Danio rerio: one gene and its partners. The protein of the gene in region 1 binds, or shares a complex with, the protein of each later gene. Links are inferred from orthologs where the notes say so. Each region holds a gene or a part of one and is shown in the gene's direction. Other genes may lie near its edges. The genes, in order: chuk, rela and ikbkg.

Region 1 (10,920 bases):
TGAACACATGCTGTCCACCAGTCTCCTTGAGGTTAGGTTATTAATATTAAATTAAAGAAATGAATAAATGATTATACAAACTATATAGCCCATGACTGTTAAGACTGTTGCACTTTTTGTGTTGGCAATATGCTCATGTTTATATAGGCCTATTGTTATGTGTGCAACATTTGTATATTTATAGCCACCTCTTAGAAATGTCGGGGTCACAATGGTTTTAAGAAAAGACTTAAAAAGTCATACATTTGAAATAGTGACTGACACCTGCAGAAACCATGGTTGTGATGTTCCATTCCACTATAGACATGGTTACATCAAAACGAGTATTAAATATTAAGCCAAAAATATAAAACCGAATTATGTATACGCTACTACTTTAAAAAGTGATATGTGCAAATAAAAAAATACACACTTTTGTCTTTGCAGACTTTTCATCTTTGCATTAACTTGTGTTGTTTTACAGTTTTTTTTTCAGTCGCTTTGGTAAACTTCTCAGATTTGAAATTTGCTAAGCAGTAAGTGCATTTCTCAAAACAGCACATACAAATAGCCAAACAGCATGGATTACCTGCAAAGGCCAGTCTCTTGCTTAAAGTGCTTGGTTCATCTCTCAATGAACATGTCAGTGCCGTCAGAATGACAAGTCCTTGTGTCATTGTGTACGGATAAGACAGTCAAATTACTTACTCATGTTGTCAATGTAACAGCGTACTCTGGATGGACGTCCTCATGTAAGCTATACGGCTAATTTATTTCATTTTTAGATTGACCTGGGAGCAATTTACCAATTATAGATTTAGAAAAAAAACGTCTAATGGAAATGTACAGAAAAATGCATTATGACTAAATATTATGACAACTTGTTCAACTTCTTTTATATAGAATATATATCTCGACATTAACTTTTTTCTCACACCCCACTGGTCATTTTTACGAGACAAAATTTTGTTGTTGAAAACTGTAAATTTGACTTTTGCATGCAAAAAGTACTTGAGTAGGAGACATTTTACTCGATTTGGGTCATTAAAATAACTCTGACTACCAATATAATGATATAGGTAGCCTATATCTGCTGTAGTAACTTAAAACCTACAGTAGTTTGACAAAAAAAAAAAGACCAAAACAATACCCATTCTTGTCTTAAGGAAATTTTTATTGAGCATTTTTTTGAAGAACAGTAAGTTCATGACATGTCAAATATATAGTATATTCTGCTGGTTTTAAACATACATACATAATAATAAATACAGTCATGTAACAACCATAACATTACCATTGTGTGTGTGTGTGTGTGTGTGTGTGTGTGTGTGTGTGTGTGTGTGTGTGTGTGTGTGTGTGTGTGTGTGTGTTTGTGTTTGAAGAGGTATATTTCCATTATTCCAAATTAAGCAGGTGTGAGGAGAATAATTGCGGAACAAATTTTCCAGTTCACATGAAATTATCATTTGAAGATCTGAAGAAATTCAGGTCACCGACCTTGTTTTCGTGACAAGTTCCTACGTCCTGAGTTCAGCTCCAAGAACTTTACTTTGCCCATGCATACAGCATCTGTTAAGACCGACCGATCCTAGATCAGCCACAAGAAACTCGGGCGTCTTTTCACGCTCTGCGCGTGCGTGAAAATTGTTTCGCTTTTGACTGGAGTAGCAGCTGACTGGCGTGGCCGCCGTCAACAACAGTTAACATATAAGTGAGCCAGTCAGTGATACTGTATTTAATCATAATTCAGGCCAGAAATATTTAGTTTTTTAGAAATTCACTTGCGATCTGGTATTTTTTCGTGCCCAGTGTTATGGAAAGCTGACATTTGGGGGCATGTGAGACTGCAAGCTAACTGCTCATGTCGAGATGTTTACGTGTAGCTAGTTAGCCAGTTAGCAAATCTAAAATCCGACCCGATAGCTCGTTTAAGGATGAAATGGACAGCTCTGCCGTTTCCTATGGATTAATTCGCTCATTTTACAGCTCACTGAATTCTCCACATTATATGTGGCTGGTTAAAGCAAGTTAGAAACACAAACGGACGCAAGGTAAGTCACCGGCTGACACTTTGGATTAGCTCGCTTGCTAGCAGTGCCCTAATGTCTAAGTAAATATTATGACGCAAATGAATATTTCGTATTTATGAATCCTCTTTTGTATTGTTTACACCGAAGAAGCCCGTAATAGTTTCCTCAATAGGGCCCAATGTACATAGATCAAACGGCAGCAGCTTTCACAAAGTGGAATCCAGTGATTTTGTATTATAAACTTATGATGAAATGTTTGATGTGTACAGATGGAGAAACCCCCTTTCAGACAGAATCAGGTCTGTGGCTCATGGGTTATGAAGGAGAGGCTTGGAACAGGAGGATTTGGCCATGTCTATTTGTATCAGAATCAGGTACAACGTTTTTATTTTTATTTTTACTATTTATACTATAGATGTTTTGTTGTTGCTTATTTATTTTACTTGTAAAGACTAATGTTGGAGTTTTCACTCTTGGTAATACAGTTTTTTTTTTTGCTTGCAGGAAACATCAGAAAAAATAGCTGTGAAGCTCTGTCGCCTTGAGCTTAATTCAAAAAACAAAGACAGATGGAGTCGAGAGATCCAGATTATGAAAAAGTGTGTACATCTATTATAATCAAATGATTTATTTGTTTTGAGAATTTTACGTGTATATATACACGTAAAATATATGTATATTTGGTCAAGATATAAAATTTTGTCTTAACAATAATCTTGACCAAATGCTATTTAATGAAAAGAACTTGCTTTTTTGTTGAAATCTTGGTAAAAATCCTTTCAGACCTTAAAAGAAAAAACAAATATTAACAATTCGTACTGAAACCTGGTTGAACATTTTTTGTTTTTGTAATGGCAATTTTTTACATACATACACTTTCAGGAATTGAAATAATTATTTAGCATAATAGATGTTTATTTAACTAAAGAATATATTTGTTCTATCCTGTGCTTATTTAAATATTTATAAAATTTAAGTGATTGCACTACATCCCTACATTTTTACCTGATTAAACACATAGTAAGTATAGAAGGATAAAGCAAAGTTTAAGCATATCAAAATACATTCAATCAGTGGTTTGAGGCCGCAGCATGATCCTTATTTACAGTACATAAGTGTCTTAATATTGTGTGTTTGTACACCTTTAATTGTTACATTACTTAATCTAATCTTTTTTTATCCTACTTCTAAGGCTAAAGCACCTTAATGTTGTCACAGCAAAGGATGTGCCTGAGGAGATGATGCACATTGCCTTGAATGATTTACCACTTTTAGCCATGGAGTATTGTTCCAAAGGAGATCTTCGTAAGGTGTGTGCGTGTGACCATAGGCTTTTCTTTTGTATCTGTCAGATGTGCTCTTATATTAAGTTCATTCTGACTCATTTCTGTTTTTTAATTCTTTTTTTGTAGTTGTTGAGCAAACCTGAAAATTGCTGTGGGTTGAAAGAGAGTGAGGTGTTGTCTCTACTCAATGATGTTGGTAATGTGTCAAAGCCTGTTGCTTCTGTTTTTAGTATTTTTACCATCAATAGCTGAGGGTTGTGTGTCAAACTGAGTGTTTTCTTTTGAATAGGTTCTGGAATCCAGTACCTTCATGAGAATAAGATCATACACAGGGATCTCAAGCCAGAGAATATTGTGCTGCAAGAAATTAATGGAAAGGTATTTACTTTTTAGTGGTTAGAATTTTATTCTATAGACATGCTTTTCAAACATGGGTTATGTTTTGTTGTCTATGCAGCTTGTTCACAAGATAATCGACCTTGGTTATGCCAAAGACCTGGACCAGGGGAGCTTATGCACTTCATTTGTGGGGACTTTACAATATCTGGTATGTTTTAACCTGCATTATTTAGAAATATGACAGTTATGGCAATAATCTCACATACACTTTCATATGCTGGAGATTTTTTATTAAGATGCAGGGAATTTTTTGTGTCTAATACCTGTCAGTTTTGAGATTTTGGAGATTGTTCTTTGTACTCATGGGAAAAAAAACATCCACAATGCAATTTTAAGTGTTTATTTTATACTAATTTATAATTATAGAAAAAAATACCATTGTTATTTTAATAACATATTTTTTAAGGCTGTTACCTCAAAATGAGTTTTTCACTTGTAGTGATCCCTGTTTTTACTCCAGTATCACTTACACCAAATTTCCTTACAGTACAAATTACACCAATATTCCAAGTTTTATTCCTATAGGTGTTCTAATGGTTTTTACATTAGGTTTAGATTTATATAAGATATGTCTGGTTATGTAGAAATAAAAACAATAATATAAAATAATAAAACCAAAAAAACAGTAAAAAGCTTTTTTTCCATAGCATTTCCAGGGATTGAAATTGTGACCATTTTGGTCGCATATGCGCCCACAATTTTATCTATGCGACCTCAAAATATATTTGGGAGCATTTGTGTAAGAGCATAAAATTGTTGTGTGCAACCAGTTTTTACTGCAAAATGTTCACCACATGCACGGATTGGGTAGACATTCACACAGAATGCATCTTTGCACTTGAAACGCAGTGCGCAGGAAGGTTTTTAAACAGTTGTCAACATGTCAACTTTGCGTCAGTAAACAAAACCAAGTCTGTAATGCTTGCCCCGCCTTCACGCTTTTCTTATTGGCCCTCTGCTCTAGAACTGATCGCAAGTGGATTGGTTAATATCAGCTGTCAGTCACAATCACTCAGTCAGTGTTTTATGGCTTGGGATGACAGGGAGAGCTACTACCTTAAAAATGTAAAGCACTGAAGATGGGAATGAAGATAACACTGACAGATTTTGTTTTAGAAACCATGGCATCTAAAGTTAGAGATAATGACACATCTTAGTAGTGATCATGTGCTGAATGTTAATCCACCATCTACACTTTTCGAAGTTTGGATGTTTTTTTGCTATTAACATTGCTATTAAAAGACTTCCATTGGCTTCAAGTCCACTATGAAAAAGTCTGTGGGATGGAATTTTAAGGTAACTGTTTGCCACATCTAGCACGAGAGGTTCTGTTTAATCCTTTATTTAATCACTAAATGTTGTCCGCCATGCAAGTGGCAGCTATATGTAACGTTAAAATTTAACACAACGTACACCATCACAAATGGGCTTGCACTGAGTAAACAAATATCGCTACTCGTGAAAAGACCGGTATTGCTATAAACATGACGTATGCATATAATAAGGTACAGTATATGTCAAAAGCATCAGTGCAATATCAGACACCATCCAGGAGAACAGCACAGTTACATGATTAACAGATTCATTCATGTCAAGCAGTGCGTGCAGGGCCGGTGAGCGGTCCGTGTATCTTTTGGTCAGTCAGTTATGTTATAAAAATGTATTTTCTTGTGATAACGGGGTTTCGTTGAGACATATTTTCCTCCAGTATGCATATATATTTTTTTGCTTGTTAGCTTGATTAGTGTTGATTTCAAATGCAATAAATCTGTTTCTATAAAACTTGTAGTAACGGTGCTTATTATTGGTGTGTGGGACTAAATTATGGCTGATGCGCCTACATTTTTGAAAAAAAGGTTAATTTAGAGCCCTGATTTCACAATTATCGATTGATAAAAATAGATTTATTTTTAAAATCCTGTTCACAAAAAAAATCTACTTTAAAATGTGAAAAAAGAAGTAAGAATTGGATCCAATGTTCAGATTTATTCATCTTTATACATTCTTATATTTTTAAATATTCTTATAATAAATTGGCCATGCCATTTATTTCAGGCTCCAGAGCTTTTTGAAGGCAAGTCCTACACAGTCACTGTGGACTTTTGGAGCTTTGGCACCATGATCTTTGAATGCTGCTGTGGATTTCGTCCATTTCTTCACAATCTTCAGCCTGTGCAGTGGTATGTGTCCTCATAACCTGCATGCTGATAATGCCATCTTTCATATACCCTTTCTTCAAGAGGAACCTAGCCATATAGTTGCGTATAAGTAAGCATATATATTTTTTTTTAGGACAAGCAAAGTGCGAAACAAAGGTCCGAAGGATATAATGGCTGTGGAAGATATGAATGGCGAGGTCCGCTTTTCCACCCACCTTCCATACCCAAACAATCTTAGCAGGTACACTTCATACAATTAAAATATATATTAACATGTGTTAACCCGTTATTTCTGAGTTATCAATTTGTTTTTGTTTCCACAGGACACTACTGGAGCCCTTGGAAGGCCTTTTACAGCTGATGCTCAAATGGGACCCTGTACAGAGAGGATTAGGACTGAACACAGATTCAAAACAGCCCCAGTGCTTTGTTCTTCTAGATCAAATACTGAGCATGAAGGTTTGGCATTGACATTATTACATCATTTCTTTATGATGTCTTTAAGATTTATATCTATGCTTTATTTTATACAGTTTGTCTGGTTTGTTTAGTGGTGCCTTCTTTTTGTTGTCATGAATGTGTGTTTGTTTTTTTAACAGTGGTTTTAAAAATGTCATCAGCTATTTAAGAGATGTCTTATTCTGGTTGCCAAGAGTTACACATTTTTCTGCATGTAGTTGAATACGTTATTCATAACCTTCACTTATTTACCCAACCATTTAATAACAGACGTGGAGAAAAATTTCAAGAAAAATAATAGAATAGAATGGAATCTTAAAATTAAAGTCGTTACATGTGAAGTCATTGTGTATCACAAAAAAACTCTTAATGTCTGAATGTTAAAATTAGATGTTAATACAGTCATAAAAGTTCAAGAAAAAAGTCATTATTATGCATATTTCGATGTTATGCATATTTTTAGCAGAGCACTGGCTTGAGAGTAGGAAAGATAACATTCGCCGTGGTACCTTCTCACTCAAACCACTGCTTGCTGCTTCCTCTAGTTGCTTATCGAGAGAAAAGCTGCTTATAACTGTTGGTTCAGGATCAGTATTTGCCACAGATATTTAAAGTGAACTCAGATTTATATAGATCGCATGATCTGGTCCTTCCATGTTTGGCTTGATTACCTGGCTTGCACCCTATTTTAATTGACCATCAAGTTTGATCTTTGGACTTTGTGGACAATGTAGATAAGTTTTCAGCATGGTAAAAGCGTCAAATGTGTTTATTTATCACTAGTGTAATATAAAAGTGAACGAAAAGAGAGTCACTCTAATGAAGTTGTGAAGAACATTTGATGTTTAACTTTGCGTGTCAAAAGCAAGTGAATAAATGCATAGATACACTGTTTGACAAACTCATTTGTAATTAATAGTAGCTTACATCCGTGATTTTGGTGCGACTGTTCATGTCTAAAGTGAACTGGATAGAAGTCCTTTAAGGCTTTCAGGTTTTACGGGTGCAGCTGCAGCTCTGTCTGTGCACCCTGTATTTTACATTCTTTGCACATTACTTTTGTGTTGTGCGAGCATATGCATTATGTCCTGTGCCATGTGAATCCCTTTCAAGTTCTTTATCTGGTCACTCACCGCCTATGTATAAAACTCTTAACCCACCACTCCCAGAATTTCAAACTCACCCAAGGGTCAAGAGTAAAGAGAGAGAGACTGTGGTTGAGTCTTTCATGCTAAACATATGATGACCTCATTGTAAACTATCTAATCTAAAACATTTTCAGTTTACACAGAGAACCTGTTATGACAAAAATGAAAGTAAAAGTGAAACACCTCTGCGCATTTAAATGCAAAATCAGTACCCTGCATATTGATAGGAGCTCTCTGATGTCTGGAAATGATGTACAAAGTTAGCTTTTTTGCTTGAGTAGATACTAAAATTACAGTAGTAGGATTAATTAAACAGTTTCCCATTCAATTCAGCACCATAGCCATGGACAGCACCTTGCAGCATTTTTTTTTTTTCTAAATGTAAATTTTTTTCACCCCAAAAAACACAATTACTTTATTCTTAAAATTTTAGTTAGAGGTTTCTTTTTTTTTTACATTTTATGTGTTCTTGTATTATGATTATATGAGTTTAATATTGCATTATAATCTCAAGATTTAATTAAGTTTTGTCTTTTTTACTATTGCTTTGCCCTAATCCTCATAGTTGACAATAATTATTTGAAAAATAATGCTTGAAGGAACATTTTATTCACCATGAATCTAAATACTCTTTTCATCCAAATTGATTACAAATAACCACTGCACCAATTTCAAATAGCTAATATGATTTGTTGGACAGAACACATCTAAGATAACCAGCAAAAATGAGTTGACGCATGATTTGTTTTGTAGGTTGTGCACATCTTGAACATGACTACGACCCAGGTTCACTCATTTTTGCTAAGCCCAGATGAAGGGCTTCACTCTCTGCAACAGAGGATTGAGAACGAAACCAAAATTGAACTTTTGAATCAAGATCTTCTGCAAGAAACAGGAGTCATGTTAGATCCCAGGAAACCTGCTGCACAGTGTGTGTTAGATGGAGTAGTAAGTATTATTTTGGCTTCTTAAGTGTGTTTTTATCTGCAAAGAAACCATTTTGTTAATCAACATAGTTGTATTTCATTTGTTCATTTTAAATAATCAGAGAGGATGGGACAGCTACATTGTATATCTGTTTGACAAGAGTTTGACCAAGTACATGGGACCTTTAACTGCTAGAACACTTCCCGAAAGTGTCAACTTTATTGGTAAGATATGATTTGGCTTTTCTTTGGATCATTTGTTTAGATGTTATTGCGTGAAATGTGAAGTATTTGTAAACTTTCATTAGAATATTAAAATTCCTTAACTCGTTTTGTGTTTCAGTTCGGGAAACCAAAACTCAGCTCCCACTAAGTACCCTAAAAAAGGTTTGGGGTGAGGCGGTTAGCTACATTTGTGGCCTCAGAGAAGACTACAGCCGCCTCTTCCAGGGCCAGCGTGCAGCCATGTACATACCTTACATTTACTATGCTCGTTAATGTCTCTGTCTTGTGTTTTGTTCTGTTCATAATTGAATCATTTGTTTGTTTGCAGGCTGAGTCTTCTTCGCTTCAATACAAATTTGACAAGATACAAGAACATGATGTTCTCCTTTTCACAACAGCTCAAAGCAAAGCTGGACTTTTTTAAGACCAGCATACAGTACGACTTGGAGAAATACAGTGATCAGATGCAGTATGGCATATGTACGTTTTTGAATATGCTGCTTTGTTGATAAAGCTAAAAATGTGTTATTGCATTATTGATTAGTAATAATCCATTTTTTTTGTAGCTTCAGAAAAGATGCTGAAGGCTTGGCACGAAAATGAAGAGAGGGCTGCTGCTTTTGCACAGGTGCTGTGAATGAATGATACACAAAGTAGTTTTAAAACCTTTAATAAATAGTCATCTAAGTGGATTTCACATTTTTGTAAAAAAAAAAATCTTTTTGACCAGCATATCTGTTGTGCAAATGTATTTGTATGTGGGTTTACATTTGTTTTAACTACAACTAAAACAACTTTTTTATCTTCTGAAGGTGGCAGAGATTGGTCATCTGGATGAGGAAATAATGGCGTTGCATTCGGAAATCGTTGAGTTACAGAGAAGTCCTTATGCTCGTCGTCAAGGAGATGTCATGGAGCAGTTGTGAGAACCTTTGTTCAGAAATAAGCTTTGTGAAGTTTATCAGCATTTATTTTGACATAAAATCTTGTTTTCATCACAGGCAAGAGAAAGCCATTGAACTCTACAAACAGTTGAAGGCAAAATGCAAAAGTGAGTACAATTCTGTTTGCATATTTACTTTTCAAGTCAATGACAATCCCTCTGTGTCCTTTTCCAAGTAGTCAAATACTCGAAAGAAAGTAATGCATCATCATTGGTTGCATTAGTAAGTCAAGAGGGTCAGTGTATAATGTATGTTCTTCATTTCCTCTAGTGCCAGACCCTCAGCATGGCTACAGCGACAGCTCTGAGATGGTGAAGGTCATAGTACAGACTGTCCAGAATCAAGACCGGGTGCTAAGAGATCTATATGCACACCTCAGGTAAAAAACTTTTAATGCCACTCATTTATGTTCAAATGGATTATACAGTTAAGGTATTTTACTTTTCAAATTTGGCCTTTGCAGTAAAATCCTTCTGAGTAAGCAGAAGATCATCGACCTCTTCCCTAAAATCGAGAGAACGCTGGAATGCATAAAGGAGGCAGACACCACAGTCATGCAGATGCAGATCAAGAGACAGAGAGAGTTCTGGCACTTACTGAAGATTGCCTGTGTGAGTCACATGCTTTTAATGTCTGAAGGACAGATATGCTTTTAATTTGCACATGAGCCACATGATCCCGGACTTTCCAGGGGTAGGGTTATATGCACATTAGTGGTCAGACCGAAATCTTATATTACAAAATGAGTAAAACAAAAAACTACACCATTTAAAAGTTAGGTGTGATTTTTAGTAAGGAATATTGTATGTCTTGGTCATTGTTCTCACTAAATAAAACCTGAGGCATATTCTGCAAAATGAACCGGCTAGATATACATTATTCTGTTCATTACACAGCTTCTTTCCTCAAAACTAAACAAGTAGACCCAGCTGACATAAAAACGGCTGAATATAGCCCACAGTAACCTACTTATTAGTAAGCGGCAATATGGCACCAAGCTATAAAGAACAGTAGGGTGAAAGATAAAGATATTAATATTAACACTTTTTAGATAACATTGGTCTGTAACGGTTATGCAATTGACCCTTTGCAGGCAGTTTGATTGACAGGTGATCTGGCCAATCATAATGCCAAAATTTTGCACCTCGTCACAGCGCGCCAATTTCTTTGACAAGCAGAACAACCAGACTAAACAGGCATAGTGAAGTGACATCTTTGATTGTAAAATTGTCAACATGTGCTTGTAATTGACTTGCAGTGCAGATAGCATGTACCCAGAAAGGCTGGGCAAATGTTTAATATTTTCTGAAAGGAGAGTATGAAATGGGTACATTTGTGTGGACGACTCTGCTACTCATTTGAATT
Region 2 (11,367 bases), on another chromosome or scaffold:
AGTGTATTTAGGTGCATTTAAACAAAACAGATTTATTAAACAGATATATTTATGAAAATAATATTTCAGTCACCCAACATATTAAGAAATCGAAAGATAATACAATTAAATCCAAGCAAAAAACATTACAACCTACACAATCTCACAATTTTTTTTTTTTTTTTTTGCTTCTCTTGATTTTTTCTCTTTTTAAAATTTGCATTTAATATTTTTCTCTAAACTATAAATTTGGCTGTAGTAGTTTCTGGACCGTTTTCGTAAGTTATTTTATAGATAAGCTCTAGATTTGGCTTCAGGTAGTACTAATCTAATTTGCACAAATATAAAAGTAAAATTATAGAGCTTCCTATTAAACGTGAATTTAAAAGAGAGATTTGTGAGGGATGAACATATATGCTGAGCACTGTATATATACAATAGATTTATGTACAGTAGGCAGATATAAAGTAGACTGGAGTACAGTAGAATCATACAGTAGACTGGTGTTCAGTAGACATGTGTATATTAGTCTGGTTTACAGCAGACTGATGTACAGTAAACAGAGTTTCTGCGCCCTCTGCTGGTCAGTCTCAGCAATGTGCAGTATTGTAGTCTGAATAGAAGGTTTTAAATAGCGTACACTGATATTTTGCTCATTTAATCGAGCATTTGACAAACTTTTGATTGTATTATGTATTATTCTGGGAATCATCAGACAGAAGTGGAACAGATGAGTGGTGTCTGTGCAGTTATTAGTCAAGGCAAGTTTATTTCTATAGCACATTTCATACACAATGGCAATTCAACGTGCTTTACATAAACAGGAATAAAAGAGACAAGCATAAGAAAATAAAAACATTAATATTAAAGGGATAGTTCACACAAAAAAAAGGACAATTCGGTGTTTTTTTTTCAGAACAACCCCTTCCCCAACAAATGAACTCCTTACACACGAGGATATACATAAGATAATAATAAAAAATAATAATGAAAATATAATAAATAAATAAATAAATAATTTAATTAATTAATTAAATAATAATAATAATATAAATAAAAAAATAAAAGGTATTTGTAACGACGGGGAGTGACACAAACAACTGGGGTATGATCCACAGTGCAGGTTCATTCATTGTCAGGCAAGCAATGGTCAAAACAGGTACAAACGAGTATATGGAGACAGTCCAGAATCATAATCAGTATACAGGCGAGAGGTCAAAAGGCAAGCGGCAGGCAGGGAGAACGAGAATACAGGTAACACACGGGGAAACAAGACAAGAAATAACGCATAATAATGTCATCTACTGATAAACAAGACTCAGCCAACTGAATAGGTGAGTGTGTGGCTTTAGTAGTGTGTGCAATCAGTCTCTGACAATCCTCAGGTGGTGCGAGTAATCAGTCTAGATGAGGAAGCATGTGTGAGTGTGACCGGAGTGCATTCATGAATATGTAGTCCAACAATGGCGGAATTGTAGTCCAAGGCTATGTTGAGTGAGAACCAGCGATCTTATGGAATCCGATCGCTGGTAATCATGACAGTATCGCCATCGTAATTATTTCACAGGGGATACATTTGTACATCAAGTTACACTGTGTTGCATTGTACATCAAATTCAAGTGATGATAGGTCAAGCAACCTCTAAATATACATATCTAAATGTGTCACAATACTTTTCCACCTCTTCAGAAAAATATCAGTCTTCGTTTGTAGACATGCAGTCATTATTTCCATTATATAGACCTGTTTAATTCTCTGAATCCACTGAGCAGTGCAGCTTTGGAGAACTTTCTTCCATCCAATGTACTGTAATCTTTTTTTTTTTTTGCAACCAGTAATAATATCCTCTGGACAAATGTTGTTTCCTTATTAAACATTTCTTTGGGCAGTGCTTCTGTAGCAGAGGTCAGCTAGTGTGTGCTGTGCAGGTAAACCTCACTCCTCTGACCTCTAAAGGTGCTCTAGTGACAGACACTAGAGGTCATGGCCTTTAGCCTCCTTGGTAGAGCAGCCGACTCCCATGCGGAAGGTCGCCAGTTAGTTACCAGTTCAGAGCGGGTTGAGTGGTGTAGGACTGGCAGGGCTACACTCCCAATAAGCATATAACTGGATGGATGGGGTATTTCTGTCTAATATCTTATCTATTTCTTTATTAACATTTTTCCATGGACAGTACCAAAAATGTGAGTATGATCACCGATTTTACCGCATTTTCTCCAGCACAAAGCTACAGATGGTCTTCTTACACATCTAGATATTACAGAAGGAGTATTAAAGTATCTCACTTTTACTTTGCTATCAAATTCTTTCCACAATTGACTGTTCATTCCTTCATGGCATCCTTCACATAACTCAGTCCATAACTCAGTCATTATTCCAAACCTGTTTGAGTTTCTTCACTCTGTTGAACACTACATAAGATATGAAGAAAGCCAGAACTGTGTAACTATTAACTCACTATTTGTTTTCCTACTGGAAGTCGATGGTTGCAGGTTTTAGGCTTTCTTATCTTTTTTTGTGTGTTCAACAATAAAAAACTCAGAGAGGCTGGAAAACACTTGACAGAGAATCAATAGTGAGTACATTTTTTTTAGTGCGTGTGTGTGTGTGTGTGTGTGTGTGTGTGTGTGTGTGTGTGTGTGTGTGTTTGCGAACACATAAAGAAGACAGAATATGAACAAAGAGGGTTACATAACTTAAATAAATCCCAGGAAATTATACAAGTGTAAGAGATTTGCATTAAGACGAGTTTTACACGCAGTGTAATCACTATAGCCTTTTAAATAGTTCACAAATAAATCAGAATATTCTCAGAAAATTACATTTAGGAGCATTTTTTTTTCAAATGTACATTTATGAAAGTAAAGTTTAGCAAGAAAAAGCAAATAATAATAAATTTACAATGAGAGTGGTCTGTGTTTAAATAATACAATGTTGGGCAAATACAGAAATAATATGATATGTTTATAAAAGTGGAAAAGTCGACCTAAAACAATTGAAGTTCATTCATTAAATTTCCTTTAGCTTAGTCCCTTTATTCATCAAGGGTCGCCACAGCGGAATGAACCGCCAACTATTCCAGCATGTGTTTTACACAGCGGATGCCTAGCCAGCTGCAACCCAGTACTGGGAAACACCCATACACACTCATTCACACACACACACACACACACACACACTCATACACTATGGACAGTTTAGTTGATCAATATAGCGCATGTGTTTGGACTGTGGGGGAAACCGGAGCACTCGGAGGAGAACATGCAAACTCCACACAGAAACGCCAACTGACCCAGCCGGGACTCGAACCAGCGACCCTCTTGCTGTGAGGCCACAGTGCGAACCACCGAGCCACCGTGTCTCCACAACTAAAGTCCACTCTCTAAATAAGTGATGTAACCAGACAGTCCAGAATGAGCGTTTGTGGGAATACTGTTATTAGAGTTACCGATATGAGGCTGGTAGTCAGCTTGGTAAGAGGTGATTCTTTTTGGACCTTTTTGCAGTTATTCGTCTCGTTTTCTATTTAATTATGAGATTTAAATACTGTATTTAGCTGTCATTTAAACTACTATGTTTAGCTGGATTAGCTTGTTGGGTGGTCATTATAACCACACTTTTTGATGTACCAAAAATATTTATTTTAGGGCTGTCTCTCATCCCTGTATGAACAGAGTAGGAGTCTGATTCGCATTGCCAGCAATACAGTTGAAGTCAAAATTATAAGCACCCTCCCTGCTGACAAATCCAGCCTAAACCAGTCTAGGCTGGTCGACCAGGCTGGTTTAAGAGGGGTTTTGGCCACTTCCAGGCTGGTTTCCACCCATTTCCAGCCAGGTCTTAGCTGCTCAGGCTGGGAGATGACCAGCTAAAACCAGCTTGACCAGCCTAGCCAAGCTGGGAGTCCAGCCAAAACCAGCTATATCCAGCTTAAACCAGGCTGGTCAAGCTGGTTTTTGCTGGATTTGGCTGGTCATTTTCCAGCCTGACCAGCTAAGATCAGGCTGGAAATGGCTGGAAACCAGCCTGGAAGTGGCCAAAACCCCTCTAAAACAACCTGGTAGACCAGCTAAAACCAGCCAACCAGCCTAGGCTGGTTTAAGCTGGATTTTTTAGCAGGGCTTTGCATCTGTTTTCTTTTTTAAATATTTCCCAGATGATGTTGAACAGATTCAGGAAATGTTCACAGTATGTCTGATAATATTTTATTCTTCTGGAGAAAGTCTGATTTGTTTACATGTCACATTAAGCTGTATAGAAGTGTCTTGAAGAATATCTAGTCAAATTCACTGTCATTATGATAAAGAGAAAACAAATCAGTTATTAGAGATGAGTTATTAAAGCTATATGATTAGAGATATGTTGGAGAAATCTGCTCTCTGTTACACAGAAATTGGGGGGAAAAAATAAATAGGGGGCGAATAATTCTGACTTCAACTGTATTTGACAAATTCTGGACCCTAGTCATTTAGGGCTGGGTCTTCTGAACCGCCCTGGCTACAGGCCTGGATAGTTTACTAGATAGTTGAATATAAGTTAGATGATTATGTCAGACTTTTCTTAGTGAAGAAGCCAAAAGTATTCTCATTATTTGTCACCAAATACAGTATATTATTCCAAAAACAGTGAATATGTAACAAGACATCTGAGTCCATATCTTCATTTGACATTGATTTTGGTCGACAAATAAGTTTGTATTGCTAAATACTGCCCATAAGCTAATCTACAGTGCGCGTGTGTTCTCAGCAGTCGTGTTGGTGATGATGAATCGCGTCATCCGGGTATTTCCGCCCACGGGAGCGCGCCTGCTGTAGTCCCGCGGAGGCGCGCGGAAGGAAAGTGTTGTCGCGGTGTGTCGTTTATTTTTCACCGTCGCCCGGAAACGTTAAAAAGTGACCGAGAGCTGTGGAGACCCGCGACATGGACGGTAAGTCGAGCTTTAATGCCGGGTTTCTGCATGTGAACGGCGCCAACGGGGGGTTTGCGGTGTCGCGCGGAAGGGAAAGTCCCGCCGCTAAACTTTTACTCTCGGTTTCGGCTGAGAATCGATCGGTCCCCTGTCTCCGGGGCTCAGGTCGGTAAACGGGTCACGAGAATCAAACACGACAACCATTACAAGGCTGCAGAGCTGACGTATCGCGGCCTACAGGTGTGTGTGTGTGTGTGTGTGTGTGTGTGTGTGTGTGTGTGTGTGTGTACACAAACAAACAAAAACACTTTCAAATACTTGTCAAAAAGTCCTCAGAGATCACGCGATACGCGGAAAGTGGCTTGTTGACAAGGTTACGTTAACTTATGTTACTTTTCCTGGTAACGTTAACTGCTAAGTTCTGTGTGGGTTGGTTAATGCTAGTTAGTAGCTAGTAAACTTCATCGCCTGTGTGAGCTAACGTTAACTGACGTAGCGAAAGTAAAGATGCACTAACGTGATATTTGTATTATGTGGCTGCTTGTTCATTGTGGACATCTGACGATAAACCTGTTTAGGGGTGTGTTGGCTAGTTCTGGTTATAAACTCATCTCCTTCATGGACTCACTGATTTAGCACAGGTAAAGCTACTCAAAGTATATCTATACTCTTTATTTGGTCACTTGTTCATTGTGAATGTCTGATGATAATACTCATGTTTAGAGTGGGTTGGTTAGTGCTAGATAACTAGTAGTCAATGAACGCCATTATTAACTCTTTGATTTAGCAAAAGTAAAGGTACTTTGTCACAATATTTATGTTGTTTGCCCACTGGTTTATTGTGAATGTCTGATAAGGAACATATTTTGGGGTGGGTTAGTGCTAGTTATGGCTAGTAGTCATAATCACCTTTGTGAACGCACTGATTTAGCGTGAGTAATGCTGCTTGTTTATTTGGCCACTTGTTCATTGTGAATGTCTGATGATAATACTCATGTTTAGAGTGGGTTGGTTAGTGCTAGATAACTAGTAGTCAATGAACTCTATTACGAACTCACTGATTTAGCAAAAGTAAAGATACTTTGTCACAATATTTATGTTGTTTGTTTGCCCTCTGGTTTATTGTGAATGTCTGATAATGAACATATTTAGGGGTGGGTTAGAGCTAGTTATGGCTAGTAGTCATAATTACCTTTGTGAACTCACTGATTTAGCGTGAGTAATGCTGCTTGTTTATTTAGCCACTTGTTCATTGTGTATATATGATAATAAACATGTATTAGTGTTGGGTTGTTTAATGCTAGCTAACTAGTAACCAAAGCCACCTTTTTGAACTGGTTTAGAGAAAGTAAAGCTACTCTATTACAATTTTTGTGCTGTTGCCACTGATTCATTGTGAATATCTGATGATAAACCTGTTTAGGGGTGGGTTGGTTAGTGCTAAAAAACTAGTAGCCACCTTAATCAACTCACTAATTTGGCAAATGTAAAGCTACTCTATCACAATAATGACCACAGGTTCATTGTGAATATTTGATAATAAACATGTATTAGTGTTGGGTTGGTTAGTGCTAGCTAACTAGTAACCAAAGGTACTTTTGTAAAGCTACTCTATTACAATATTTGTGTTGTTTATTTGGCCACTGATTCATTGTGAATATCTGATGATAAACATGTTTAGTTGTAGGTTAGTTGGTTTGTGGTAGCTAACTAGTAACCAAAGCCATGTTAGTGAACTGATTTAGAGAAAGTAAAGCTACTCCATTACAATATTTGTGTTTCATTGTGAATGTTTTATAATAATAATAATAATCATAATAATATTAATAATAAGCATGTTTGGTAATAGGTGGGTTGGTTCGTTCTAGTTAACCTGTTAAAGTCTCCTTATATAGAGTAAGTAATACTGCTCAAAATGTTGTTTGTTTGGCTGCTTGTTGATTGTGAATATCTGATAATAAACCTGTTTAGGGGTGGGTTGGTTAGTGCTAGAAAACTAGTAGTCAGTGTCGCCTTAATGATCTCATTGATTTAGCAAATGTATCACAATAATGGCCACAGGTTCATTGTGAATATCTGATAATAAACATGGGTTAGTTAGTACTAGTTATGGCTAGTAGTCAAAGTGTCCTTTGTGAACTCACTGATTTAGAGGATGTAATGCAGCTTGTTTATTTGGCCACTTGTTCATTGTGAATATCTGATAATAAACATGTATTAGTGTTGGGTTGGTTAGTCATAGCTAACTAGTAACCAAAGTTACATTTGTGAACTGATTGAGAGAAAGTAAAGCTGCTCTATTACAATATTTGTGTTGTTGTTAGTGGTAGGTTAGTTGATTAGTTCTAGTTAACTATAGGCATTGGTCGGTATAAGATTCTGGCGGTATAATAACCTTGGATAAAGATACCACAGTTTCATGGGATAGTGATTACTGCTCTAAAATATATTCTTTTTAAATGTCTGAGTAAAAAACTAAAAGTTTCCCTTTGAATACAATATATCTTAATTTGAGAAGTATTTAATATATTTTGGAGCAGTAAACATGTCAGGTTGAATAATTCAATGAGTCACTGACCTCTGCTGTCTTCATTCATTTATTCATTTTCTTGTCGGTTTAGTCCCTTTATTAATCCAGGGTCGCCACAGCGGAATGAACCGCCAACTTATCCAGCAAGTTTTTACGCAGCGGCCTCAACCCATCTCTGGGAAACATCCACACACATTCGCACACACACTCATACACTATGGGCAATTTAGCCTACCCAATTCACCTGTACCACATGTCTTTGGACTGTGGGGGAAACCTGAGCACCCGGAAGAAACCCAAGCGAAGGCAGGGAGAACATGCAAACTCCACACAGAAACGCCAACTGAGCCGAGGTTCGACCCAGCGACGTTCTTGCAGTGAGGTGACAGCACTACCTACTGCGCCACTGCCTCGCCTTTGCTGTCTTCATTTGTTTCAAAAACACAGATTTCTTTATGATCTAAAATGGCATTTTTGGAAATCTTTTCTCCTGGAGATACTGTTTTCCTAAAAAAAAGAGAAAAATATTTAAATTAAAAAGTCTTCCACAAGTCTTCCACATACCTCAGGAACGGTATAGCAGAACATCTGGGTTTAGTCACAACCTGGACTTTTCCATATCACGGTATACCTTGAAAACGGTTATCGTCCCATGCCTAGTTAACTAGTAGTCAAAGTCGCCTTTGTGAAATAACTGATTTAGGTTAAGTAATGCTGCTCAAAATGTTTACTTGGCCACTTGTTGATTGTAAATATCTGCTAATTAACATGTTTAGGGGAATGAGGTAAAGTTGATTTTATATTTGGACATTCAGTCATTTTAATGATCCCTATATTGTTCGCCATGCTACTTTGATTATTGTGTCTTTACACAGTAACATTCCACAGCGGAATGAACCTCCAACTATTTCAGCATGTGTTTTACACAGCGGATGCCATTTCAGCTGCAACCCAGTACTGGAAAACACCCATACACTCTCACCTCAATTAATCAATAACATTTAAAAAATAATTAAAATATTTTGCCGAAAAAAGCTCATCTTTTTAACCTCTCATGCTTTATTCTGCAATAACACAACCAACTGGATGTACATGGTCCTTTACTTAAAAATCATTTAGTTCTGAGGAACAGAGATAGCAAAGGTTCTGGAAATACTGTAGACCTTCCTCAAACGAATAATCAGATTTAAGGCTCTAAGTCAGGAGTGCCCAAATACTGTCCTGGAGAGCTGGTGTCCTGCATAGTTTAGCTCCAATTTTCTTCAACACACCTAGCTGGAAGTCTCTAGTATACCCAGAAAGAGCTTAATTAAATAGTTCAGGTGTGTTTAAATGACGTTGAAACTAAAATATGCAGGAAACTGGCCCTCCAGGACCGAGTTTGAGCACCCCTGCTCTAAGTGTTTATCTTAAAAAATATGACAAATTTCTACCATATTCTCATGTTGACTTTGTAAAAGTAGAGATTTGACAGCAAAAGACGCCCGAAGCACAGACTGACGTTGGGCCTTTGTGTAGTTATGTTAAATAGTGTGTAAACATTCAGAGATTGTGGTTTCTGTGCGACACCTGTAGCAGCATTGTGTTTATACTCGTCAGTCAAGAAAGGAGTAATTGACAATGGACTGTTTTACAGTGTTAGAAAGTAAAGCAAACCTGAGGTGGTGATGCGGTGAAGCAGAGATGTCCAATATTCTCTAAGGCCCAATCCCAATTCTATTGTTGTACCCCTTCCCCTTGGCCCTTGAAACAGAGTGTGAAGGGGAAGGGCTTTAAAATTCACCCCTAAGAATTGGGCCAGCACTACAGCATCTGCACACGTCATCATGTGTCATCGCCATCTCCTGCTTCATATGAGATCAGACGATGGAGACTGCTGGAGTTACTCCAGTTGTGTTGTTTGGTGTTTATCTTCAGGACATCACTGAAGGCAGATATCATGTTATCATGACATATAATGTGGCAATAAGATCATAACTGTACTGTGTGTTCACACCGTGGCCATATTCATCATGTAAACACACCAGAACAGCATGAACACTACAGCAGACACTGTGAACAGCTCATCACACACACTAGACTCTTCTGACAGGGGATTGGAGTGCTCTTCTCATCTGGTCTCCAGCACCGCTGCTGAATCCACTGCTGAGATGTTCTATGTTTGAGACTGTGTTAATCAGGTGTGTGTCCTCCTCAGGCGTCTCCTGTGTGTCCTCCACATCTCCTCCTCCTCCTTCTGTTGTGTTCTGATGTAATTTCTGACTGCTGTAGTTAAAATAACACTAATCATTCAGTGTAGTGATTTGGAGCCACTGTAAACCTGCCGGAACTTCTTTAGCTGTGCCTATATCTGACAATAACCAAGCACCCTAATGCACATCAGCATCAGACAGATTTAGGACTCATTTTTTTCTTAGTCTGATTTTACTTTGCTTCAGGGTTTTCTTTTATGCTCATTTCATCACAGACTGATGGTAAATGTGCTGTGATTGCATCATGATGATGACAGACTGTTTACATCCAGAGATCTCGACTAGCAGACGGGTTAGTCATAAAACTCCTCCAGGTTTAACTGGGTCAATATGTGCTCGCCGTCTTCCGGCCTTTCTGGATTTTCTTCTTTTTTCCTTTCTTTTTCTTTTATCAGTCTCCTGAGTGTAATGAAAACACAGCGTACGGAAGAAAACACAACAGCAGAGAGGGCTGGAGATTTGAAGACGCTCGCTTTTTATCAAACATGTCAATAAAAACACAGAGGATCTATTATTAATTACATTACATTTATTTATTTTGTTATTAATCACTTTTATACTTCGTTAGAGCACATAAATAAGCACACTACTGCATTAGTGATTGAGAAGCAACAAGTCTGTGTTATTATCATCAGATTTTCCTTTGAATATATATACATTTTATTATTATTATAGTTGTCTAATGCCATGCTCTCATAATATGTTTAAGTCCTTATTAATGTTACCTACTTTTTAAAGTGTTTTTGCACTTTCAATTTATTCACGATTCATTTTTGCCCAGCACTATTATTCATTCATTTTCTTGTGGGCTTAGTCCCTTTATTAATCCGCCACAGCGGAATGAACCGCCAACTTATCCAGCACGTTTTTATGCAGCGGATGCCCTTCCAGCCACAACCCATCTCTGGGAAACAATCACACACACACACACACACTCATCCACTACGGACAATTTAGCCTTCCCAATTCACCAGTACCACATGTCTTTGGAAACCGGAGCACCCGGAGGAAACCCACGTGAAGGCAGGGAGAACATGCAAATTCCACACAGAAACGCAAACTGAGCCGAGGTTTGAACCAGCGACCTTCTTGCTGTGAGGCGACAGCACTACCTACTGCACCACTGCCTCGCCCCAGCACTATTATATTCATTTAATTTCCATTGGCTTAAACCCTTTATTCATTAGGGGTTACCACAGCGGAATGAACCGCCAACTATTCCAGCATATGCAGCCTAAAATCAACGTAATATTTTTGTGTTTAGAGTTATTCAATAGGAGTGTTGATTATTGATCAATGTATTGTAATTGATGAATGTATTGTGTGTGTGTGTGTGTGTGTGTGTGTGTGTGTGTGTGTGTGTGTGTGTGTGTGTGTGTGTGTGTGTGTGTGTGTGTGTGTGTGTGTGTGTGTGTGTGGTCTGGCAGATTCAGCTCAGTTTGTTGTTGAAATGTGAGTTATTTTCAGATTCGTTTCAGAGTGTCAGACTTGTGAGTGACTAATCCTGTTCTGCAGCTTTAAGGTTGTTTATTTAGTTGTTGTTGTTTTAATCTCTGAAGTTTCTGAAGATCTCCAACATTACCAGCAATTGGACTGATGTGGATAAAATCCTCACTTTTTACAATAATTGATGTTTCAAAGCAGCTTTATAGAAGGTGCACATTAATGTATTGCAATCAGATTAGGGTAATGTTAC
Region 3 (10,920 bases), on another chromosome or scaffold:
ACCCTACTCAATGTTTGTACTGCACAATTCCTCTTACAGTAAAACACATTCTACTGGACTGTCCTGTTTTTAATGATTCCAGAAGAATATGAAATAAATTCTCTTAAGGACATTTTAAGCAAATTATTATTTTTTAATTATTTTTTATCATGTATTAGCGCTAAAATCTTATTTAATTAATGAATTCATTTGTTTGTTAATTTTTAATTGTATATTTATTATTAAAATGTTCTTGCCATAAAAAATAGCCTTGCTTGCTGGCATGGCATTAAATAAAAAATACATGCATACATCAGTGTTGTAAACGGTTACATATGCTGTCTTTCTCGCATGTTAGTAACTTGTGTTAACTGATTCCTCCTGTGTTTATCAGAATGTTGGGGTTACTGAAGAGTCAGTCCCGCCGACGTGTGCTGTCACTGTTCCTGCAGAAAGGTACAATCAGATCTTCAATTTCGTCTGCTTTTTCTCTCTCTCTACAGCTGACCATGAAGCTCTGTCATCTTTGCATGGTTTGATTGGATTGTAATAAGTCTCAAAGTGCTTTTCTTCCTTTTCTTCTAATGTAAATGGTTTGGAATTTCTTTTTTCTGTCTTCTCTTTGAACCCGTGTGTCTGCTTAGCTCTCACTTGGCTAACATAACTGAGCAGCTTCAGGCCACACAAGGCAGGTGAGGACAACCGTGTCTCACTCGACGTGTGCATGAGTGTCCATCCCCTCATTCAGTAAATCCTGACAGCTGATGTTCAACTGTTTTATGATTCTCATATAGACAGATGTTCACATGCTTGAAGTCAGGAAGATTATTATTTTTTAATTGTAAGAAATAAATTTGTCATTTTATTAACTAATTATATTCACTTTATATTCACCTTTTATATTCAATTTATAGTGTTCATAAAAGATTTTAAATCATTTTCTATGAATGACATTCAGCATGTTAGATTAATTTTAATGATCATTTAACAATGAGGACTGAAAGGTAATGGCTGCAAAAAAATCTGATCTAAATGTTCTTTTATAGAATATATATTTTAATAGAAATATTTTACTTTTCATGGTAATATTTACCAAAGATAATGTTTTCACTTTTGATCAATAAATGCCGCCTGGTTAAAGGTATAGTACACAGAAAAACGTAAATTTACTCACTATCAAGTTGTTCGAAACTTTTATTAATTCCTTTCTTCTGTTGAACTTAAAAGAAGATACTTTGAAGAAAACTCAAAACTTTATTAATATGGCATTTTATTAACAAGGACAGTCAGCACTGGTATTTAAGAGAAACTTTCTGAAATGGCACAATGTATACATTTACATAGGACAAATGGACATTATTTGAGTCAACATGACTGTTAACATTTTTTCAATGATTTGTACACTTGCATATGACAGTCAGTAGCTATGTTTCCATCCAAAAATGCTAATTAACTTCGTGCGCAAAACTGGGTTATCGCATAAAAGACGTGCGAATAAAGCAGCGTTTCCATCCAACAAGTCAAAGCAAACAAAATGATCACTTCCTGATTATCTGGCACCACATATCAACAGTAAAAACATAATTTGCTGCGATAAGAGAAGCTAAGTGAATCTTTTCTTCTTTTAATAAATGACTTGCGCCTCAGAAGGCAGTCCTAACACGCAGTGAACTCGCGGAGGCGTTGAAGGCGTGAGACGCGAATCACAGATGCTCTTGATTCTGGAGGTCATTAGTAATATAATACAGGATTACTGAAATGGTTACGGCATTTTAGAAAGACCAAAACAACATTTCAGATGTTTTACAATGTGTTCAGCCTCCTGGTTTGTCACATGATCTCTCATTAAAAAACCACAACACCTTTTTTTAATGCACATGCTGGAATTTGTGCAGTAAAAGTGTTTCGATCATTGTTTATCTTTTTTATCGAATACAAAGTTTATCCTACTCAGTTATGCGTTTTTTTTTTAACTTATTTTCAAAATTTCTGCACTTGCCGTTTTCATTAATCTTTTTTTTTTCTATTCGCATATCCAAAATGTGCATAAAAATAGGTGGATGGAAACGTAGCTAGTGATAGACTGGCCATCCTTTAAGGGAGTTTTTAGCATTTCACTTTTAAAAAAGCATAGATGATCGTGTAAAATTATTTGTATGATGATTATGTTATTAGCGGATGTTTTTATTTGAATCTCTCCATCTTAAATATTAAAAATAACTTATTGTTTCATATTCTGCTCATTGTAGTATGTGATTAAACTTTACATGTTACATGTTAAAATTAACCTAATTTATTGAACAAAGTAGGGAGGACAAATACTAAGGAAGTCAATGGTTAGAGGTTTTCAACATTCTTCATAATATCTTCTTTTGTGTTGAACGGAAGAAAGAAACTCAATGAGGTTTGGAACAAGTGAAGAGAGGGTAAAGAATTAACATTGCACAAACATTGGTTAAAGTGTCTGTATGTTATTTATTATGTAGAGATTTTGTTTATTTTTATTACACTAGGCCTGAATAGTGACGTTTGTAAAAGTAGCCTAAATACTCAAATAGCTTGAGCTCTCATTAGGGGCTTTTGCACCAGTGGAACCTTTTTATAGTTCCTAGAACTATTATTGGAAGTTCCTGCTTTTTGTTGTTTGCATTACAATTTTAATTATTTGTTCTTTACTGTTTTTTACTGCATTTGGTACAAAAGCAGTCTGGTCAAAACAAATGATCATGAACAAACTCAACACATTTCAGTCCCCATTTTACAGCTGTATTTGATGTCATTCGCTTGTGATCAGATGCGCCAGAAAACTTAACACCAGGTATAAAGCGGGTCTAAAACAAATGTCTGTGCTGTGATGCAGGTACAGGGAGCTGCAGGAGAAGCTGGATTGTCTTCAGAAGAATTCTTTTCAGAGAGACAGAACTGAGGCTCTCCTTAAACAGAAGGAGAAAGAGTTTGTTCAGGTACAAAAGGACAGTGAAGCGCTGAGATCGCAAGTAACGTCGCTTCTCGGAGAGCTGAACGAACGACAAAACTGGCTGGAGAAGAGCGAAGCAGAGAAACGAACCTTAGAAGACAAGTAAGTGAATCTCTTTCAGGATTTTGCAAAAAACAATTCAGAATTTATTTTATTTTGTGACTAAAATAAATTTTTATTAAAGGGATGATCCACTACGATATCATAATTTAAACTTTAGTTGATGTGTAATGTAGCTGTGTGAACATAAACAACATCTCTGAATGTAATACGCTCAAAGTTCAATGCAAAGGGAGACATTGGCTTTTACAGAGTTAGCTTAGCAAAGCCTACAGTGAACAAAGTTTGGGGACTACAAAAGTATATATCCATGTTAGTGAGATTACTAATGCTTCAGGTTACGTGCATTTACCACACCCATACACCTCACGCAGCAAAGGGCATGGCCAGAGGCGCTATAATGTTAAAGCAGAGAAAGCTAAAATGCCATCCAAACGCTGCTATTTCCACAGGCTTCCTTCTGCTTGTGTATTTGGGCTACCAAAGGACATGACACAAAGACAGAAGTGCTTACAGTTTAATTTTAATTGTGTTCCAGATAATTATAAAAAAGATATAGCTAGCATTTGACAAAGGACAACTTCCAGAATCTCTCCCAGTTCAGGTCAAACTCCTCAAAGGAGGAGCAGCTCCAACCATAATAGGACTGTGAGCAACAATCCATAAATGTTTTTATTTATTAAATTGATCTATTACAAGCACAGTTTCTATCGTTAATGGTATGTTGTAGCAAGGATGTAAACATCACAGTCAAATCACAGAAAACACCCAAAATCTTCAGCAGAGCTGCAGGGTCTGCGGACGCTTTCCCTGCGTTCTACATCTCAAATAACGAACTCACAAAAGATATGTTAACATTTCATATTACTTACCCAAGCTTAATCTAATTATATGTGAAAGACACTTGTCAGATTTGTCAGCAGGCGTGAAGTTCAGCTGTGTCCTCTGTGTCATTTTCTGTCTGATTCAGGCTCAAACTGATATGGCTAACAGCTACTCTGACCGACAGTATTTACACAGCGCAAAAGTGTGTGCTTGTAGGGGCATGACACTTTTCCTGGTGACTTGGGGCCAATTATTATGTAAGCTGACCAATCAGTGCCACTTGAGGAGGAACTAGGAAATATGACAGTCATTTTCATGTTAGCTGAGTAGATGTATATAATTAAAGTAAGATATGTAAGAAAATAAAGTGATTTATTTTTTTATTTTTTTTTTTACAAATGAGCACACATTGCTTTGCAACTTATAAACAACCAAACTGTAAAAATACACTCTGGACCACTCCTTTAAAAAAAGTTTGTGTCATATTTGAAAATGAAACCAATTGTTCGCGACATAAATGCTAAGTCGTGTGTCGGTGTGTCTGTGTTTGTGTGTGTGTACAAATATTATTGTCCCAAGTTCTCGCATTTAGATTTGCAAGCTCTCAAGGTTTGCTTCTGATAAACCTTCATATTTACCCAACTATGATGACTTCCACTGCTGAGAAACTTGGAAATGTGAATTAGGTCCATACAAATAAATAAATATTTTGTGACATTCGCTGGATTTTTCATAAGGTCATACAGTTGGAAAATCCTTGTCTATGCCTTGTTTTTTATTTGTACACTGTAAAAAAAAAAAAGAAAAAAAAAGTGTATATACGTGTATAAAATATATATATATATATGTGTTTGTGTGTTTATGTATATATATATATATATATATATATATATATATATATATATATTTGTGTGTGTGTGTGTGTGTGTGTGTGTGTGTGTGTGTGTGTGTGTGTGTGTGTATATATATATATATATATATATATATATATATATATATATATATATATAAATATAAATAATTGTTTTATAATGGTATTTTAACTCATTTTAATAAGTTAACTAGGTTTAATTGAATGTCTTTTGTCATCAGTTAAAGTAAATTAATGACTAGAAAATATAATTTGATTTAACTAAAATAATTTAGGTTGCAGTAGTGTATTTTTTTGTGCGAATCATGATTATTAATAAACAGATATGTAATTTATAAATGTAAATTTTACATTAAATAATAATTAGCACAAGTGTTGCCATAAAAATAGCCAATGCTGCAGATGAGGCGTTAAAAAAAAAAATTAAGTGATAACAGAATAGCAAATCCTGAAAGGTCTGCTCTTTTTTTTTATCAGAGCATCTTTGTATATATTATCGGTTTAATCTCCAGGCTGGTCACGAAGAGTGAGCGTCTGCAGACTGTAGAGAGAGAGATGGAGCAGCAGAAGAAGCAGCACAGCGTGACGGTAGACAATCTTTTACTGAAGACACAGAATCTGGAAGCCGCACTGAAGAACGAGAGGCTCGTCATAGTGGAGGAGAGGTGAGTTCAGCGGGATGTAGAAAGCAGCTTCTTGCTGTGATTGTTAGAGTTGTGATGGCAAGCCACAAATCCTGTTGCTCTTCTTTTTGTCTAGGAGGAAGCTGGCCCAGCTCCAGCATGCATACACGTGTCTGTTTCAGGATTATGACAACAAACTTAAAAGCGAAAAACAAGCCAATCACAGGGTAGGTATCTGCTGTTTTTAAACTGTTTATTGGTTATGGTACCATTTTCCTTTAACATTTCTGTTCGTCTTTGACCAGTAATGAAGAAAAAATGTAAAAAATAAATGAAATGTTTTATTTTTGTATTTATTCATACGTTATATTTTTAGAGATGGCTTTATATTGCTGTATGTTATTTTATTTATTTAATTAAATTATTTATTTATTTATTCATTTATTTATTTAATTTAACATTAGCTTGTTTTAATTTAAATTTTTGATTGCTTTTTACGGTGTGTGTGTGTGTGTGTGTGTGTGTGTGTGAGAAAGTCAATAAACCCAATAAAATTACATTTATTATTATTCATCATATTTGTAATAAATATTTTATGGTTACAAATTTAAATATGTAAATGTTTTAGAAAGTTTTCTCAATAGTAGACACTAGTCATTGAACTTCTCTTAAATTGAAACGCTACAAATCTGTGACTTCATTTTTGTGGTAGACACTTAAAATAATAGGTCAGTGCATGGTTTGTGCTCTATAGTTGTTCATGGAAACTATGTGTGGTATTTACCTTTTAAGGGTGGAGAGACGGATACCCTTGCTAACAGGTTAGGGGAGGCTGAGAAAGCACTGGCCCTCAAACAGGAGCACATTGATAAACTCAAGGAGGAAATGGAGCAGCTGAGAGCTAAATTAGAGACCATACCGGTGCTGAACCATCAGGTGAAAATATACTTTGCATTAAAATTAAACACTCATTTTTTAGGCTCTGCTATAAATGTGTATACGATTTAGATCTTGCATATAGTAACACAAACACAATGGCGACATGTTTTATTTTTACAGGCAGAGATCTATAAGATGGACTTCTTGGCTGAGAGGGAAGCCAGAGAGAAACTCAATCAAAAGAAGGAAGAGTTGCAGGAGGATCTGAATAAGGCATTGGTCGAGATTGAAAGATTCAAGCAAGAAAGAACCTCACGGTATCAAAGTTATTTTATGTATTGGTTAAATTGAATGTCTCAGGGTATCCGCTGAGTCTTAAAAAGTCTTAAAATGTGTTAAATAGCAAAAACTATTTTAGGCTTTAAAGTCTTAAATTCACAGAAATATTGTGTTGTAGGTCCTAAATCATTTTAAACAGGTCTTAGTTTTCCTTTTTTTATGTAAAGCTACTCAATTAATTCAACCTATATCCAATCACCAACAATACATCTAAAAAAAAAACTGTTAGCAAAACTCTTTTTATAAATAATACTATAACAGTTTGTTGTGCATACATTTAGTTAAAATTTTTATTTTTAAAGTTTTTAGTTAGTATTTATACAAATAGGGTCTGCTTGTTTTGATATTTTAAATATTTAAATTAGTTATTTTAAATATGTGGCTAAGAAATAACTCATTAGAATTAGTTTTTTGATTGGGAAAGTATTTTTTTAAAATCCTTCGCGTTAAGTCCTAATAAAGTGTAAATTTAATTCTTGATGGTCTTAAAAAGTCTTAAATTGGACAGAAACCCTGATATTTGATGGTTATTTCCTCAGTTTTTGCATTTAGTTTAGCTTTGTCATTATTTTCTACTTAATTCAGCAGATCCCAGTATGTATATGCATGATTGTCATTGTGCTTTTTAATGCCTAAAATCACTAGTAAATAACAGAATGTAGTTTCTAGTTTATGAATTAACTAACATGAAAATAGTTTTTATGTAAGATTTGCATTTCCCATTACTGTCATCCTGCCCCGTTTTAATATCATTATTTTTAGAATTATAATACTTAACTATTTTATATGAGTTTTGGGGATAAAGAATCGATGTGTGGCAAAAGCCCATCTATTCAGGAAGAAATCTTCAAGTTCAGCATCTCAATTGGAAAAAATGTCCATTTCAAATCAGTCCATCCATCAACCTATAAAACACCAGCAGTTTTTATCCTTGTTTTACCATGGTGCATGTCTCTGTTATTTGGCTACACTTTGAATTCAGAGCATGTCTGAACTAAATTTCTAATGTAATGTATAGGCCATTATCCCACACCGTTAATCCCTCTTTGAGTCATTGATTGATCGATAGAAGCGAACTGCTTTTCAATATTTGATGATAACAGCGAGCCTCTGTAGTGAACAATAAGCAAAAACTCGGTTTAAGAGAATTTTCTTTGGCTTCAACTTTAAGTTTTTAATATACATTTAAATTAAAAACAGTAGCATTGATTTATGTTATCAATCTCTGCATTTCATTTAAAGGTGCAGTAGGAGATCTTCCACAATGCTAACAGCTTAGCATAAATCTCTGAATCACAGTCCCTCCCCTGCCGTCTAGAGCCACGCCTCCTGAAACACAAGCACAGCAAAAGAACCCTCTCATGTGTTAAAAGCGACTAGTGCATGTCCGGCGGCATGCAAGCCAAACTGACATGCTATTTCAGAGTGAATATTTAGAGTTGCATGGTTAACAATATAGGGAGAGACTAGGCGGAATAGTGGCGTTTACTTGTGTTTTGTTGTTAAACTAATTAAAATCTCCATCATTGATGCTGTAAAAGGACCCTTATGAAACTGAAAATAGTCTTATCAATCTTTCATCGGAAGATTTTAGGAGCTGAACAACACTTCTGTGAAGATATAACCCAACATCTAACGTTACATCAGCTTAGCGTGAAGCTAAAATAATTTTAAAACAAAACATTACCTGTCTAAGAGAAGGCCTTCAGACATGGTGTCATCCTTTCTCCAGCGTGCAAAGGTAACTCCAATATTGATTCAGGTTTTTAAAAAGTTTTGATTCAGCATGTTTTTACCAACCGCGCGCGCGTGCACGCATTCTCTCTCTCTCGTGAACGTGCGGCGGTTCGGCAGAACTGCGTACAAACGGCTGCGCAGTTGTTCAAATCTGCATTTGCTGACAGACAGATTGAGCTACTTATCGGAATTATGAGAGATGTCCGTCCGACTCTATTTAATTGGATGAACATTTTTTTGTTTTATGCCTTACCCAAAATATAAAAATACATTAAAATAAATTTAGATCATTTACTGTAATCATTACTATTAGACTGTGAAGAGACTTTCAACCAGTACAACAAAAATTGCTCCTGAAGACAATCACCTACTGCACCTTTAAATTAAAATCTAAATAAATTCAAATGAATTGCATGAACTAATGTCCTCTCCCTCCTGTTGTCCAAGCGTTTGATGTGAATGTTGTTTCCTCACAGAGCTCGCATTGAAGAGATGCAGCAGAGACACTTGGAGGACTACAGGCCTCGACCTCACCCGCCACCTCCAGCTGGTAAAACACCTGTTTTCTTCATTAATTAATACACAGGTGCTTTATTTCCTTTAAGTTAGTTAATTAGATTTACAGGCTACATGACAAAATGCATCTCTTTAAAGAGTCATTAAGCCACTGTTCTCTCACCACAGGCCACAAAGGTGAGGTGTGTGTGTGTGGTAAAGCTACTGAGTGTAGGGGAAGTGGTGAGACTTGGGCACCACACAAATTCACTGAAATTTGTTTTAAAACATAATTTTTATGCTTTGTGTTCACATAGCTAACTATATATATATATATATATATATATATATATATATATATATATATATATATATATATATATATATATATATATATATACACATACTTATATATTCTCTGAATATATTGTTACAATGGTAAAAACAACAACAAAGAAACTTGACACAGTAGAGCAGAGAAACCCTACTTTCGGAAAAGCAACACAGAGAGAATGCAGAAGTATAAATGCTCACAACAGAGTCAGCTACGTGCGAGAGGTGTGCCGTGGGCTACAGAAGTATACATTGCAGAAGTATAAATTGGGCTTATCCCAGAAGATGAATCTCGTTTGAAAGGCATTTTTGATGAGGACAAGACTTTAGCTGCGTTCTGGTCTAATTTTTAAGCCCTTCACTTGCCACTTTACTTTCCTTTGTCTCATTCCCTCGGATGTATGTCATTGATTACGTTACACAACTATACACTGCTGGTGGACAATCTGAATGGGTTTTAATGGAATGCCCTAACCCCTTAAACACCTGGGACATACACTGTTGTGATATCACAATCACATTAAATTCTAGGTATATATAGGTTCTGAAGTGTATGTATGATACCAAATCACTCCATCGGCTAAAACCAAGGGATCGAGGGAATGTCAGTGTAAACTTCATGAGTGTGCTTCTAAAGGCTGGTTTATACAATAAATATGACCCATGGCGCATACCTTGCAAGTTGCCGTGCATTTAAGTCTGATTTGTACTTTTATGTCAAGCACACGTGTATGCTCTGCCACAGCCTGCGCATGGTCGCATAGCCCTTGCCATGGCCGACACCGATGCGCACCTCTCAAAAAAATGTAATTACACTTTACAACGACAAATGAATGTAGGCGAGACGAACTGATGAGTGTTGGCGAGACCGAGAGCCTCGCGAACCCATTGGAGCGAGTGAGTCCCAAGATAAAGCTCCAGATGAAAACTTCTGTTTTGTGTTTTCCTTATGGTTAAAGTTAATGCATATCCGCTGATTTCTGCCTCAAAATGAGCGCGTTTGAGCCACTTGTACATTATGGTAGCATTGAAAAAGAATCTCAACACAGAAGAACATAAAAACCTCACTGCCAGCTAGTGTTTCAGAAGTGTTACTGCAGAGCAACACAAAGTGCACAGAAGTATAAATGCATGACAATGCGCGAGGCAGGCGCCAAGGGTCTCCCTGATCACACGACACAGAAGTATAAACTAAGCTTGAAACTAGGCTGATTTATACTTCTGCATCAAGCGCGCACATATGGCCTGGCCCAGCCTTTGCGCTTTTGCATAGCCCTCGCCATGGCTGATGCCGAAGCTGATGTACACCTCTTAAAAAATGTAACCACACGTTGCAATGACGCGTAGCGCAAGCTCTGTGATTGTGATTGCTCTGTGAAGCTCTGTCGGCTTAGTAGCAGTGACGAGCTCGTGTTTACAAGTGTCGAGTCTCGTGAAGGATCTCCAAATGGAAATTTTTGTTTCATGTTTACCTTATGATTAAAGTTGTTGCACATCGGTCGATTTTTCGCCTCTGAATAAGCTAATTTTATGGCCCGTTTCCACTGAGTGGTACAGTTCGTACCGTACTGTACCGTACCACTTTTTCTGCACCCTTTCGAAAGTGTACCAAACACGACAAAGGGTACCAAAAGGCGAAGCTAGACGTGCAGCTGAACGCTATTGGTTTACAGAGATACATCATTCCCTTGTGCAACAAACCAGAATAAAAAAAACAAAGGAACCGGCATGTTTTAAATACACAACCGAGAGATTGCAGCGTAATTATACATGCATATAATAACTTGTCATGGTCGACCCGA

Evidence for each region.
Region 2: chuk (region 1) and rela share a complex: the UniProt entries of both Homo sapiens proteins name them as parts of the 70-90 kDa complex. The link is inferred for Danio rerio from reciprocal best matches to the Homo sapiens genes CHUK and RELA.
Region 3: chuk (region 1) and ikbkg share a complex: the UniProt entries of both Homo sapiens proteins name them as parts of the I-kappa-B-kinase (IKK) core complex. The link is inferred for Danio rerio from reciprocal best matches to the Homo sapiens genes CHUK and IKBKG.

What each region holds. Positions count from the first base shown.
Region 1 is NC_133188.1:28,580,980-28,591,899, forward strand, and holds part of chuk (inhibitor of nuclear factor kappa-B kinase subunit alpha), read left to right. Parts: intron 1-1,908; exon of another isoform or gene 1,909-2,030; intron 2,031-2,278; coding exon 2,279-2,383; intron 2,384-2,513; coding exon 2,514-2,608; intron 2,609-3,201; coding exon 3,202-3,319; intron 3,320-3,421; coding exon 3,422-3,491; intron 3,492-3,584; coding exon 3,585-3,673; intron 3,674-3,752; coding exon 3,753-3,842; intron 3,843-5,749; coding exon 5,750-5,874; intron 5,875-5,986; coding exon 5,987-6,094; intron 6,095-6,176; coding exon 6,177-6,312; intron 6,313-8,213; coding exon 8,214-8,408; intron 8,409-8,508; coding exon 8,509-8,611; intron 8,612-8,729; coding exon 8,730-8,853; intron 8,854-8,939; coding exon 8,940-9,091; intron 9,092-9,177; coding exon 9,178-9,239; intron 9,240-9,423; coding exon 9,424-9,533; intron 9,534-9,612; coding exon 9,613-9,662; intron 9,663-9,825; coding exon 9,826-9,934; intron 9,935-10,018; coding exon 10,019-10,166; intron 10,167-10,920.
Region 2 is NC_133182.1:1,091,022-1,102,388, reverse strand, and holds the start of rela (transcription factor p65), read left to right. Parts: upstream 1-4,848; 5' UTR 4,849-4,900; coding exon 4,901-4,907; exon of another isoform or gene 4,908-5,129; intron 5,130-11,367. UniProt on the Homo sapiens protein: NF-kappa-B is a pleiotropic transcription factor present in almost all cell types and is the endpoint of a series of signal transduction events that are initiated by a vast array of stimuli related to many biological processes such as inflammation, immunity, differentiation, cell growth, tumorigenesis and apoptosis.
Region 3 is NC_133198.1:21,478,275-21,489,194, reverse strand, and holds part of ikbkg (NF-kappa-B essential modulator), read left to right. Parts: intron 1-373; coding exon 374-435; intron 436-623; coding exon 624-671; intron 672-2,839; coding exon 2,840-3,058; exon of another isoform or gene 3,059-3,181; intron 3,182-3,516; exon of another isoform or gene 3,517-4,631; intron 4,632-5,224; coding exon 5,225-5,377; intron 5,378-5,471; coding exon 5,472-5,562; intron 5,563-6,127; coding exon 6,128-6,271; intron 6,272-6,394; coding exon 6,395-6,531; intron 6,532-8,766; coding exon 8,767-8,840; intron 8,841-10,920. UniProt on the Homo sapiens protein: Regulatory subunit of the IKK core complex which phosphorylates inhibitors of NF-kappa-B thus leading to the dissociation of the inhibitor/NF-kappa-B complex and ultimately the degradation of the inhibitor.